Linked DNA regions of Drosophila melanogaster. The gene in region 1 interacts genetically with each later gene. Each region holds a gene or a part of one and is shown in the gene's direction. Other genes may lie near its edges.

The links. A genetic interaction does not mean that the proteins touch.
Region 2: of pnt (region 1) and SH3PX1, changing one suppresses a phenotype caused by changing the other (phenotypic suppression), as found in Drosophila melanogaster (one study listed by BioGRID).

The regions. Positions count from the first base shown.
Region 1 is NT_033777.3:23,341,492-23,349,542, reverse strand, and holds the start of pnt (pointed), read left to right. Parts: upstream 1-3,375; 5' UTR 3,376-4,145; intron 4,146-8,051. Other genes in the region: PolE1 (DNA polymerase epsilon subunit 1), read right to left, coding at 1-1,031, 1,094-1,220, 1,282-1,352.
Region 2 is NT_037436.4:9,708,254-9,715,476, reverse strand, and holds SH3PX1 (SH3 and PX domain containing 1), read left to right. Parts: upstream 1-1,649; 5' UTR 1,650-1,791; coding exon 1,792-2,544; intron 2,545-3,324; coding exon 3,325-3,977; intron 3,978-4,457; coding exon 4,458-4,749; 3' UTR 4,750-5,055; downstream 5,056-7,223. Other genes in the region: vsg (visgun), read right to left, coding at 854-926; CG16711 (uncharacterized protein), read right to left, coding at 6,876-6,939, 7,009-7,223.

The DNA.
Region 1 (8,051 bases):
TTCACCCAACATAGGCAATCCATGTGTATGGCAGGGCGACTTAGATAATTGCCATCCCGTAGCTTGGAGAAGCCAATCTCTTGCTTCATGTCCAGATCGTACACTGCAGCACGCGTCTCCACGAAGGGCCAATCGAAGAAGTCGCCGTTGTATGTAACAATGATGTGGGGACGCACCTCCATGATGTGATCGAAGAAGCGCTGGAGCAGCTGCATCTCGTTCTCTTCGTTGAATACTATAAAGTTACCCTCGAATTCCGGCTTGGGAGTGTACTCAAAATCGTCCACATTGGATGATATAATCTCACGATTGGTTATCAGATAACCCTGACCATCGATCATGTACGAGATCATCATAACCTGATCCGTCTGGGCATCGGGAAACTTAAGGGGCAGCTTAGTGGTTTCTATATCAAAGGCCAGGACCACGGGCTCGGGTCTGTCCAGAATATCCGGTCGGCAGGTGATCGTAGGCAATTCCACGCCACTTCTGCACCTGATATTGTACCACTGTCCACAAAAGATGCGCAAATCGATGGACACTCTGACGTGGTAAGGCACATCATGCTCCCTTATGTCCACAATACAATCCATGTAATCCTGCTGCCTCTTACCCAATGTGGCATCCTCGGAACCTGCGGAGGATTGGGCCAGCGAGGTGGCCAGCATTTGCATGTAGTATGTGTTGGATTTCTGTCGCTCCTGATTTCTCTTCACCGCGGACATGAGTTCCCTTCTAACCTTGGTCATGGCTGTCTGATTGAGAAACGAAAGTTTTATGTACTGCTGCTGCAAACCGGATAGATGATTGGGCAGATCCAAATCTTCTTTGGTTATGTGCTCCAGTCCAGAAATCTGGCCGGAATACTTGCGACCCAGAAATCGCGCCACTTCCAGATGCATATTATCCTCTGGTCGGATGAGTAAATATGGCTGATAGGCCACCGTGCATTTGAAGCGGGAACCATCCATTTGGATGAAGAACAGGTCCAAGGCAGCAATCAATCTTCTGTCCTCATCCAAAACTTCGTTCTGCAATTGGCATAGCCATTATTGGACATGATTTTCAACGTTTTATGGGCTTCCTAACTTACCGAATGCATGTTGATGAGGTAGCCCGTCCGCTCCTGGCTGTCCTTAACCCGATCGAAGCCATATTTCGAGTCGATTTTATCGTTCTCCCGGGATTGACGATAGCCCGCCTCATTGAAGAAGTCGTCGCTGTGGATAAGATTGGAAAATATCTTGTTCAGCGTGAAATTCACGAACTTTGACCACTCACCCTTCTGTGCGATTCTCGCTGACGAATTTACCCGTATTTTGCAGCACTTTGCCTTTGCTGGAGTCGGACATTTCCGTGCTGTTTAGCAGAAATAAAATAAATAAATGTAAATAACTTGTTGCCGCCAAAAATCTGCAAACGTCTCAGAAATGTGCTAACGCGTTGCAGAGAATGCTGACATTTAGCTGTTGCACAGCACTGTAAAGTAACACGTTTGGCGCCAATTTCAAAATGTTACTACAAATAAAAGAAAACAAGAAAATTATTAAATGGTTTTAAGAATATAAGTTTTACCTAGAAATCCTCAATTATTCTTAGCTTTGTAGTTCCACCTAACACAAATTAAAAAAATAATGCTTAAAATCTGATGAAATCATAAAATATAATATTTATGTTTATTTCATCACAGCTTGACCATTTTAGCTATAATTTTCCTGTAATGGGCATTAAATGCCCTATTTGCTGACAATTTAAGGACAGCTGCTGGCCAATTGAGTTGGCCTGTTGGCCATGTGTTTTCCAACTGCTGAAATGTGAAGTTTTTTCTACTAGTTCTCCGCTGCAATGGCATCATGCAGTCACGCACACAGGCGCATTCATTCATAAAAATCCGGCTCACCTACACGAGTTGTAAGATTCCAGCGCAGTGGAGAGAGGGAGAGAGAGTGGGAGAGCGGCGCGCATGCGCTCTTTGAGTTCTTTTTTTTCGCTTGCTGCACTTGTCGCCCCCTTTTATGTTTTTCAGTTTTACCTCTGCGGCAGCAATTAAGTTGCAGCAGAGGTTGACAATCAGCCATATTTTTATTGCACGTGTTTCGTTATGCAAGGCTGGTTAAGTTTTTTTTTTTTATGTGTACATATACGCTCCCTTGGCCGGGAAAATCGGGAACGCCATCAAGTTTTGTTATCCCGAATCTTATTGCCCTTTTTCTGGGTGCAGCTGGCCATTTGACTGCCGCCCCTGCACTTGCATTCACTTATGCTGTGTAATTTGTAATTTATGCGAAATGCGTTGCCGGAATATAAAAACATTGCAGTCGTTTCAGTTCCATATCGCCGCTCTCTGTCGCACACACTCTCCGCACACATAAACCTGTTTGTGTTTTTGATTTGCGCGAAAGAGAGAGAGAGAGAGAGCCTTTCGAACGCACAGTGGTTGTCATGGTCACGGTGGGAAAATATCGCGCTTAACTTTTTTTGGGGTGTCCAAAAGTATTTTCCCAAGCTGCAGCTTTCCCACATTGTGTGCAAACTTTAATAATGATAATAATAAGTTGATAATTTAATCTCACATCAAAATTTTCATATAGGTATTATTTCATATTAAATAAATATTTTATTAATTATTATAACAAAGAAACTAGTATAATTTTCCTTTTAAATAAGCTGGAACTGATATTTTGACCAATTTACTTTATTTGTCAAAAATATAGATTTGTATAAAATCCAGAATCAAAATAAATAAATTTTTATATCAGTGTACACAATTGAAAGACTGAGACTGCCAAATTTTAAAATATTTGTCTTTATTATTCCGCCCCCTTTGCATACTAAATATTTTAAATATACTAGTGATTTTGGGCACTGTTTAAATGCTTGCCAAAAACGATCGCCCGCACACACACACACACACACATACACGCACCCACACACTCTCTCGCATATTCGCACTTACACTGAGTTCTGAGCAAGCAGATTTTTTTTATAAATTGTTGCTATTTTTTTGTCGCTGCAAACACTTTGTTTTTGCTGCTCGAAATATGTAATTCTGATTTCCATTTTTTTCTTGCGCTCATGATGCACGCTCTAGTGCGAGTGCGAAAGAGATAGCGAGATTGAGGATCACCCACGCCTTTTCGTTTTCATTCCAGCGATCAAGTAAAATAGCGAATAATGTTTATAAGTCAGATTGATATAACTCTCGATTTTCATATTATTTGCCATTTTTGTTATCACTTGCCAGAGCAACACAAAAAAATATTAATCTTAGCAGCGGAGAGAAAGAGAGAGAGAAACGGAGAGAGAAGGTGCGTCGGCGTTGGCGTCAACGCTGCGTCTGCGCCAACGTCGGCGTCGCTGCCGCCTGTTGCCAGTCGGTCAGTCTGTTTTTGTCTTTCTTTCGGGAAGCGTGCACTTGCGCTACGGTAAATTCGATTTGAATGAATTATACGAATCAAATAACAAATAAATAACAAATGCAAAACACTTTGCAAGCCAAGCAAAAACCCAGTGTGTAAGTGAATGAGTGCAATAGCAAAACATCTAAAGATCTGCGCGCGCAATATACATCAAAAAAAGGAAGGCAAACAGCAACAGAAAAAAAAACGCGGTTCAGAAACACAGGAAACCAATTTCTATATACGAAATTCATCATAAAACCACAAAAATCTCCTCAAACATCGCGTGAGAGTGCCTGAGTGTGAGTGTGCGCGCGCGTGTGTGTGTTTGCCAGCGATCCGTCGGCCTTTTTTCGGTTTGTTTCTTTTCGCGTCTTATAAGCCGAGCTAAACCGATCCCCGATTTCTTCTCGAGTTGTTCCTTTCGGTTTTTCGTTTGTCTTTGTGCCCGGCACGTAATCCCTCTCTCTCTCCCCCTAATCAACCTGCTGATCCCACCGGAGGGTTAAAACATACACATCTATACAGCGTGATAGAGAGAGAGAACGAGCAAGAGATAGTCATCGGTGCTGCGGAGTCCATCAAGATTGTGCGCCTAATTTGAAGCTGTAATTAATTTGGATACCCTAATAAAAAGCCAACCGAAAGACGGTCTTTAGAATCCAGAACCCACAAACCAAAAATCAAGAGCCCAGTAGCCCCCGCCTTCTTGTTCACGAAGGGGCGCTATTTTATTACCCCGCACCGGTAAGAAAAGTGAAGTGTTGAAAAACAGTAGTTCAAGTATTAGTTTTTGTTATTTTCCCTACACTCGAAACAAAAATCCAGCGAAAATTAAAAGACAAAACAATTGAAAACAAATAATAAACCATATATCTCTTAATTGCTGTTGATATATAGTTTTGAAATATAACTTTTAAATCATATTTATCTTAAAAATATGAAATTTAGAGAGTTTCTTTTGAGTGCATGTAAACCCTTTTTGTGTTGGTGTTGCCTGTTTTCTTGAATGAATCTAGGAGAAAACTGGTTTGGCTACCGCTCGGTAGATCCGCCGATCTCGCGATCTCGCCTCGATTCAGGATTGCTGCCTCTATAAACTCGTTGTTGGCCAGGCCAACAGAATTTGAATTGGTTTTCTACTCGGCATCATAGCCAAGCTAGTTAGCCGCCAGTGTGCGTGAGTGTGTGTGTGTGGGGCACTTCCACAACCCTTGTGGGAAACACGCTCGAAATTACTACTGTTCCTTTTACAGCTTCCGGTGCGGCAAATGAGCTTCGCCTGCCCCACGATCGCGTTTCGGGCCATCAATCCAAGGGGTTTGGTAATCGAGAATGTGTGAACGGTTTTTGGTTAGGGTCAAGAATCTAGCACAGCGATCGCATTAGACAATTAAGTATCAATAAAACTGATACCGGAGTGCTACTCTTTTGACCTTTCGGTTTTAAAGTATGTATAATTGGGGCTTTCCTGTTCTGCACTTTGGGTTACCTGAAAGGGTTTTTAAAAGGATCTTACAATTTGGGATGTAAATTAAAGTAATTATTAATACAAAAAAGATCAAAGGATAGTTAAAGGCTTAACCGATATCATATTTTATAAAAATGTTACCATTAAAATGATTAATTTTACAATAAGATTTTGCTTAGATCAATTGTTATTATTTCTATGATAAAACTTGATTTACGTCCTTATCGCAGTCTTAAAGCCAAAAAACGATAATTTAAGGAGTTACGATCATTGAACTACTCTAAAGACATGTTTAATATCCCTTGGGCTATTTAAAAAAAACCAATTTGCGAGCAAAATACACAAGGGAATGATAAGAAATTATTGCCATAATCGATAATTTGATGTGTGACGATCGTCGGATCATAATTGAGCCCAGCTACCGCCAACCGCTCCTCTCCCTTTCCCTCCTCGAGCGTCTGGTCCGAAATGAAAGACCAGTTCAAGATCCTTTTCCATAAATACCCACAGACAATTACAGTTCAGTGGATGTTCGACGGGCTGGTTCGTTGCCCCATGCCACGTTAAACTCGGATTCTGTGCCCGGACCGATGCTAAAAGTATCAACCTGCTGCAGACAGGCCGAGATCAAGATCGATCCCATGACAAGACAAGACGACACACTCGCACAGATATGCCACACACACAGATACTCCGCACACATAGATATTCCGCACACACATGCAGTTCGGACTGTTCTGCGACAGATAGAACAACACATGTGTACACAGGCAGGCATCCCGAGGATCATCAGCGGATCGGAGATCCCTTCTTTACATTCAGCGCGAGGAAAAAAGGGCCAGGCGCTGGGAAAGAAAAGAGCAGCGACTAAATGTGTATTCTACCGTTACGTACACATCGAAAAATTGCACCCCTATTTGTTGCCGCTGCTGGTGTTTTAGTTGTTGCTGTCGTTGTCGTCTGGCCGAGGAGTGCGCACCATATCAAAAGATCATATTCGTTTACAATCTGTTCTTTAAGCATCTGCTGCGCCCAGACTCTCCTCCAGACATCAAAAACTCGGACTGCCAGACATCTTCCACTCGTTTGGTCCACTTACTATGGGCCAACCCAAAAAATTTTGCTCTTTTCCAGGGAAAACATATGCTCCGATTTTCGTTTCAATTCGATTCGTGTGGTTTTTTGTTGTCGCCCTCGCTCTCCCTCATACATACGTATATATAATATTTTATTTTATTTTATTTTTTTTTTTCGGTTCGGTTATCTACGTGTCGGGGCGATAAGGTTTTTTGTTCAGATAGTTTTAGCGATTGCGACTCGTTTTTGGCACCCTGCCGAATGATTTTTGGTGCTCGAAATGCTGCGATTTGAAGGCGGTTTTTGAAAAATGTGCCACTTTCAAACTTACGCATTTGTTCCTCGATTTTCCCTCTGGACTTATCTGCATTTGAGGAATTTATTTTCATATGAATGATTGATTGGTTTCAAAAAAAAAACTGTGGAATTCGCGAATCGATAAGGACAATTGTCAAGTCACTTTTAATTAATTGACTAAATAAACCCAAATTAATCTCTGCCACTTGGAGGCACAAGTGTTATTCGCACTGGCTTATTTACTTAGTTAATCTACGTAGTATGTGCTTTTACGATTATTGTAATTGCTGCGACGATCGCTTATTTTCCTTGTCTTCGGAAAATAAACTAATTTCATTCACAATTATGTTAGCTAACTTTTTATTGCCAACATTTTTCGAGTGACTCTAGGAACTGAAATATTCGCATTTGCCTTTTGCCAAAGCCAAAAATCAATTGGACTTGCCAAAAGTTGCCAATTATCTTGGCCACTTTTATGCGTCAATGAATTATTTTCGTGTGAAAAGTGCACTCAGCACTGCTGGCATATTCAAAATCATATGCAGTCGAGATCTATATATATATATATCCACAGCTGAAAATGCATATAGATTGTGTGCAGATTTAGTAATGCTGCTGTGGTTTCTGTTATTGCTGTTCTACATTGAATTGATTGCACTTGGGGCGGCAGAAAAACTAGGAGGCGCGAAATAAATCAACTTTTTGTGGACTGCATTCGCTGATTTTATTATCCATTTAAATGTTGATTAACTTAAATTCGTTTTTAGTGCGCTCAATTTATAAACATTGATATATATGTGTATTTATACATTGATATATTCTTGTATGTGCTTATAATCTGGTTCTTGTGAACGTGAATACATAACTGGACCAGCTGGGCGTTTCAGTTGATCGGACGAAAATCAGCAAATCAAATCGAAATTGATTTCGCAACAGCTCGAGCTGAAATTTATGCAACAGTTTTTCCTGACGATATTGCCCTAGGCAACGGGGTATTCCTTTATACAAATCAAAACCATTTTATTATTCATTTCATTACTCAAAGAAATCAAATCAAATGCGATATAACCGCCATATCATTTGAAAAATCCACTGAGAGTCTTTGAAAGTTAAATATATATCCGTTCTTTCCCCTTTTCCATTCGTTATTTTTGGTTCAGTTAGATCAGCGTGAATTGCTTCAACCCATACCCACTTGTACATACATATATGTATGTGCATATATACCAACGATTTACATATGTATGTGTACGTACATATACGGCTGATAAGACGGGTAGATAACTGTTGGCCACACATACACCGAGTGCCAAAGAACGCAAACGAGGGAGACGGACTTGGTTGGAATCGTCACCGATGCGACGACAGTGTCGACAGTATCTACACATTTGCATAACGTATCTAATTAGGCAGCCAGTGCTCAAAGATACTCCTCAGATGTAGCTTGAGATACATATACAGTATATGTATATATATGTATATGGTGACTTGGGGGCGTTTACCGTAGCCAAGAATAGCATTTGTGTATCAAGAAGCGAATCAATCTTTTGCGATAAAAGTCGTAGTACTATACTATATAAAATTAAAATCTTATTAGCTATAGCTTTGCCATAGATTAAAATTACAATAATTAGTTCGGATTTGTGTAGCTAGGTGCATATGTACTCATGAATTTCAAGTTTTAAGTTGAGTTTATTTCATGCCATTGGATAATCGCCCTTTTTAGTTTAAACATTTACCACTAAACAGCTTTTATCATTGAAAGTGCATTTAATGTACATAAATATCATATGTTTTAATGCGTAATT
Region 2 (7,223 bases), on another chromosome or scaffold:
AACTTATGCGTCACTCCAAAGTTAAAAGCAAATAAATTGGTAAGCATGATAAGTTCACAACGACTCTTATTGATCGATTTCCAATATTTCAAAAAGCACAACGAATACACATGTTTTGTAAGAATTGAAAATAAAAATAGTTCCATTGCACATGTAAATGATGTCAAAATTGTCAAACAAAATAGAAAAACGTAACAAAACAAATTGATTTGGTTCGGAAAATAAAGATTACTATATTCAAAATAGGCAGCATTTAGGTGATATTTATTTGTATGCAATAATGGAATTTAAGGAATGGAAATTTAAGAAAGCTGAAAAAGTAAACATTAAATTGTTTGTCAACAAAATATGGTCAAAATCTCTTTAAATCCTAAAATATGTACAAATATTTTCGTATGGTAATTAGGACGTGACGATTTAAATAAATGCTTGCGAACAAAATATGGTTACAGCTCGGTAAATACATATTTACCAAATGTCCACAAATATTAACGTATGGTAATGTGACAATTTACGGACTTTCGTAAATTCCAAGTTTCTTTTGGAAAGCTGTAGATTTGCAGTTCTTATGCGGAGAACATTCCCCCAAAGTCGGAGTAAGAGAAAATGGCCGGAGAATTGATATTCAATATAGGAATTGGCATTTAAAAAACCCCCACATCCACACACACGCACATTCATGCACACACACACCCACATGCCCGCACGGCGCACACACGCGAGGGGTTTGCGCACACGTACGCATGCACATGCAAGCGTGTGTGTGTGTGTGTCCGAGTGCATAATTGAGAAATGAGTGTTCGGCGTGTCTTCAATTCGATTTTAATTCGGTGTAATTTGATCAAAGACTCACCTTCTTCGCACAAATTCGCGGAGAAGAGGCCCACAAAGAGGCACAAGATTAGGAATTTCGCCTGCCGATTCATTGTGGTCGTTAAACGCTGAGTACTCGAACGACAAAGTCAGCAAATCTGCAAGGCAAAGAAAATACGTTTGCGAAGTGGTTGGGGATTAACAGATACCGCTGGAGTCAGTATTGCACAACTGGCGATGTCGCCGAGCTCCGATTTCGCTCACCCACAAATTAAAGCAAGGCGCAATTAAGGAATGAATAACACGACACGAAGACCAGATTCTTTTATGCCAACTCGATACTTCGATGCATCCCGATACATCGACAGCTGAGCCGTGCTCTGCAGCCCTGGCACTCGGCGCTTATCAGTAGGGGGAGACCGTAATGTAGTTGAAACGCCTCGCATTTGGTGCAATATAAAATTATGATCATAAATTTGTCCTTATATTTTACTTGATTTATTACTATAAAATTGTATACCCACCTAGCAATTTATTTGAAATATTTGTAGGTTAAATCTATATAAACATAAGTAATTTTTCACAGCTAAATCTTTCTTGATAACGCAATAACTCATTAATTTAATTTGATCGACTTAAATGTACCATTTATATTATTTTATTTTAGTGAGTATATAGTAGTAGTACAGTATAAATATGAAGTTTTTATAATTATTTATCAAATTAGAGAGTGCCTCTGTTCCAAGTGTAGAATTCAGGTGTGTTGGGGGAATACCCCTAATAAAATTGCTGTATCATCATTATATCTTGTTGCTGCAGAGCGAAGAAGACGTCAGTGTCAGTTTAATTCCGTAATCCAAGAAACGGTAACACTTCACACTTGGTGATTCAGAATTAGTAGATATTTCTTGTCTGTTTATGGCCCCTGTGAAGACAGGACTCGAATTAGCGTAAAGGAACGACCAGGAGAGCACCAAGATGACCTCGTACGTGCGTGCCATGTACGACTTTACCGGGGAGCCGGGCTCCTCGGAGCTCTCCATCGCGACTGGCGACGTGCTCTCGGTGACCCGGAGCGATGTGGGTGAAGGCTGGTGGGAGGGCAAGAATGCCCGTGGCCAGATTGGCCTCTTCCCGGCTGCGTACGTGGAGGTGATGTCGGCGGCCGAAGCCCAGAAGCTGAGCGCCAGTGGAGCGACGTCGGTGCCACAGGTTCCGGATCCCTTCGCCTCGCCCCCTTTGCCGCGTTACGATCAGACGGCGGATGATGATGGCAGCAACTGGGATGATGAGGACGATTGGAGCGACGACAATGACACGTACTCGGAAATTGGTCCAGGTGGCCAGAAGTCTGCGGGACAGTCGGCTCGCGCTGGCGGATTGTCGCATTCCACCAGTGACTACGATAACAAACACCTGCCCATCGCGCCCAACGATGATACCCAATCACTGGCCTCCGTGGCTGGTGGGACTGGTGCTGCTGGCACCGTCAAAAAGGGCATGTTCGCCAAAAGTTCCGATTCATATATACTCGGCTTGTCCAGCACCAAGGAGAAGATACCCGAATGCGAGATGGCCTACATTACACAGGTGGAGGACTCGATCTACCAGTGGACGCAGAACCATTCGCCCTACTCCGTTGTGGTGGCCAGTCCCAAAAAGGAGTCCAAATTCAAGGGGATGAAGACGTTCATTGCCTACCAACTGACGCCTAGCTTCAACAACATATCCGTAAGTTGGCCAACCCTGATATCGCCGTGATTAACAACACAATACGATAAAGCTCCGACCGTTGGCGCATGAGTGTGTAACTACGGGTGCAATATTTTGTTGATAATATGTGTCTGTGCTGTGTTCGCTACCCTCTGCCAAGGGTAATTTGGGCTGGTTCATGTGCTCACGAGCAGATGGAATGGAATAAAGAAAGACCAATCCTTTGTTTATCGAAACTCCGCACTAATTGCCGGCCAACATTTTCCAACTGAGTTGACCTTAAAAGTGACCCTTTTTTGCTGAGAAAATTTAAATGGAGATCATATCCATTTCTTTAATTGGTTTGTTTTATTAAGACTCTGAAAATTGGCTAAATTTATCTTTTTATTTGTTAAAGTTTTAATACTATTCAAAGCTATAGTTCATTTCTTATTAGCTACTTAAATAGTATTTTGATAATTTCGATCAACTTTATTCATTACAATAATGAGAAGCATAAATGCTCGACATTACTTTCGAACTGAAATCAAAGCTCTTTGTAAAGTTCTTTCAGTCCATTAAAATACACATACAAATAGGTAGAGCATTACAGAGTCGTAAAAGCACTTAAAATTCTTCTTTGTGGGGGCAATTCTGACCAACTGGTAGCCAGCGGCACTGCGATGATTGCTTGTGCTTGCGAACCGCCACGGGGAATGACTCAGCAACGAGCTCTGACCCCCCGAGCTCCGGGCTCCTCTTTGCGTGACCCAATCACAATTAATTGGTCATATCTAATCTGGGTTTCCCTTTCGTTAGGTGTCACGTCGCTACAAGCACTTCGACTGGCTGCACGAACGTTTGGTGGACAAGTTTTGCCTGATTCCGGTGCCACCGCTGCCGGACAAGCAGATCTCCGGCCGCTATGAGGAGCAATTCGTGGAGCATCGACGTGTGCAGCTGCAGGAGTTCGTCGACTGGGTGTGCCGCCATCCGGTGATCTCCAAATGCGAGGTCTGGTACCATTTCCTCACTTGCCGCGACGAGAAGATCTGGAAGTCGGGCAAACGCAAGGCGGAACGGGATCCCTACATGGGCGTCAACTACTGCCTGGCCATCTCGCCGCCGGACAAGAACCTGCTGCACTCTAAGGTGGACGCACAGGTGGAGCTGGGCACCCAGTTCATACACAGCATGGACGTGGCAGTACGCAACCTGAACAATATATCCAACGACATGGCCAAGCGCTCCATGTCGCAGAGTAAAAAGGAGTTCCAGCGCATTGGCGACGGACTCTCCGACCTGGCCAAGGCATTGGCCATCGATGAGCGGCGTGCGCCCACCCGAAACGCGGTTCCGCTCTCCGAGAGCGTCGGCCGCATCGGTGGCATCTTTATCGGTATTGGACAGGCCTTTGGCGACCAGCCAAAGCATGATTGGATTCCCCTCTCGGATCGACTTCACATCTACAGGTGGGTTGACGTCTCTATAAGTGATGGGAAGCATAGCACATTTCGTTTCATTCATCAGTAATTGATTAGCTGACTGAAAATGGGAATTCCACGACATGTGTCATTTCTATACTAGAAGTTACAATAGGCACATACATATATGGCTGAATTACTCACAATTAAAAATTTTCGATAGATTACTTTCTTGTAAATTGTTTTTAAGGTATCAAGTTTATTTATAAAGAACTCAAATTGTTTACTTTTAAGCAATGAATCAATGTATAGTTTCGCGAGAAAAATCGATTGTTGGCCAATAGTTTATTTTAGATTATTGTGGTTCTTACGCTGACTGACCTTTAGTTTAACAAGAAATATATACATAGATATACATATGTATAATATATATATAACTTCTAGAGAATGTGGTAACTTTCCGTCGCTATTTGTTTATAGAACGATCTAGAAGCATTATCTAATTCTTACTTTCACTTTTCCAAATAGGGGCGTTCTCAACTGCTTTCCGGACATCTTCTCCACGCACAAGGGTGCCATACAGAAGCGAAAGGACTGCGAGAAATTGGCCGGCGAGGGCAGGATGAATAATCCCCAGTTGCACGACGTTAACCGGCGCACAGATGTCGTCTCCTACACGGTGCTGGCCGAGCTGACCCACTTCAAGAGCGAGCGGGATACGCATTTGAAGCATACGCTTAAGAATTTCATTGCCGAACAGATTAAGTTTTACCAGGGCGTGGTGGCGCGCCTGCAGGAGGCCAGCCGTCAGATTGAGTAGATTGGCCCTTGGCCCATGGCGACGACGACTCATCGCTGAAGAGATCGACGGCTGGGAGCACAAAGAAACCGCACCGGGCACACACTTCCACACAGAGATACATAGCTGAAAACATTCGCACGCGCGCATTTCAAATGCCTTCGAAAGGAACTCTTACTTTAAGCGTGGTTCTAACTAAATGTTAAACAGAAAAAATATTACATAATGTTGTTTGTAAGTGAAAAGTTGCGTATTTATACAGAAATTAACTTTTATATGCCTATTATACACTGAACTTGAGATGCAAATATAACTATATTTATACAGAACCACTTGTGCAAGTGCATCATCTGCATCATAATCATCATATTTGGATGATCCAACCAAACCCGCTGAATTAAAAGTCTCGGTGGCGATTTGCTATTCTGTTGCCTTTATCAGCGAAATTCTCTAAAAGGGTTCTCTTTATTTTTCCATTTTCATGTTCATGCTTTTGCTTTGCCATTTTCGCGTTAATAAGTTTTGTGATTCTTGTGTTTGTTTGGTTTTTTTGTTTTTTTTTTTTGTATCTAGAACATAAGTGTTAGATTGCACATGTTAGGGATGATGATTTCATAAATAATCAGCGTAATAACTAGTAAAAACAAAAAGAAACACATTTCGGAATGGATACAAAATCGGTTGTTTGCCTTTTAGCGCTGCGCTTTGTTTTCGTTTGATTTTTGGCGAGGTCATAGGTGAAGGTGAAGGGTCCAAGGATTGTCCTGGCATTTTTGGAGGATAGTCGGATGTGGGTTTCCAGGGATGGGAATCGGGTTGTGGGGGGATCACTAAGTGTAATACATCTAGATAAAAACGCTATATACAGACACACGAGTTAATAATAATAATAATAATATAACGCAGCTTGAGATAATAATAATAATAATAGATTTTGGTTAACAATAATACAATAATTAGGTTTTTTTTTGCTTTTGCCTTCCGCTTTCGCGCTCTACATTATTTTTTGTTTACTTGTCGTGTTTTTTTTTTGTTTTTTCCTCTTTGTTTTCTTTTCATATTTTTTGTGTTTTTCTTTTTTGTTAACAAACTACCAATAACAAATTTTTACTAATTCAATTTAAGTTTTTTTTTATGTTTACTGCTCTCTGCTTGTGTTTACCACCTTGTTTGTTGTTTATAAATTATTGTTGTTTGCGTTCCGGTTACCTTGTTGTTGCTGTTCCTGTGTATTAAACTAAAGGAAAATCATGGTTTATCCTTTACCAATTCCTGGCGGTAAAACGGCCTATACGATGCCTCTAAATATATAGTTATTATTACACGCAAGTGTTACATATGCCTATATGTTTATGTTTATGCGCTAAAGTGTCTTGCGCTTCGGTTAGCTGAACCGTGAACCCACCGGACGACTCCTAGCCGTAGTCACCGCCGAAGCGTCCGTGCTTATTGCTACCGTTACTGCTCTGGACCGCTGCAGCCGCCGCCGCCGCTTGGGCAGCCTTCTCCGCCAGCAGCGCCGCCTTCTGTTGCATGTAGGGATTGAAGTGTTGCATGTACATGGAGGCAGCGGCTGCCGCCGCATAGTTGTTGGCATAATTGTTGCTCCTTTGGTTGCTGCTGCCGTTGTTGGCGCTCCATTGATGCTGCTGCTGCTGCTGCTGGAGCTGCTTCTGTTGCTGTTGCTGCTGTTGGTGTTGCTGTTGTTGGTGTTGCTGCTGCTGCTGATGTTGCTGCTGTTGATGTTGCTGCTGCTGTTGTTGTTGATGCTGCTGCTGCTGCTGCTGTTGGTGGTGATGTTGCTGGTGCTGTTGCCAGTAGCTCTGCTCCGCCATATAATTGCCGGCATCGCTATCCTTTTGATAAAGATATGAATTCAGCAGGGATTCGCGTGCGGCGGCAGCGGCCGCCATCTGATTGTTCTGGAACATATTCTCCATGGCCGCTGCCGTTGGATAACAAAATTTATTGCTACTATTGTTGCTGTGGTTTTGATTGTTGGCTGCTGGAAGTTGTGGTTGCTGTTGCTGCTGTTGCTTGGCCGAGGCGTGATAGTTGCTGTAGTCCTGCTGCTGATGCTGCTCCTCATAGCTGGCCGTCCTTGTTCCCGATCCAGGTGCTGGCTCCTTTTGAGCCCGGCTTGACTGTCATTCACCTGATGCCGTCACCGTGGTCCACTGCCATGGACTATTGTAGCCTTGTTTGGGATTGCTGAAAGGGAACGGATGTGGATTAATTTGAACAGATGGGAAAGATGATTAGGTTAGGAACATCACTCACCTTCCGAAGAGAGGATGCCACAGTGCCGAGTTGGCATCCATGCCGGCTGCTGCCGCCGCATCTGCAAGATTTTGCTGGTGCTGTTGCTGCTGCACGTCCTGGGCGAGCATATTGCCCCGCTTGCGCTGCTGCTGTGCGGCGGCGGCTGGGTGCATTTGCTGCTTGGCCTGCTCGAGGGGATTATAGGTGACGCAGGCTTTACTGGAGCGTAGTGT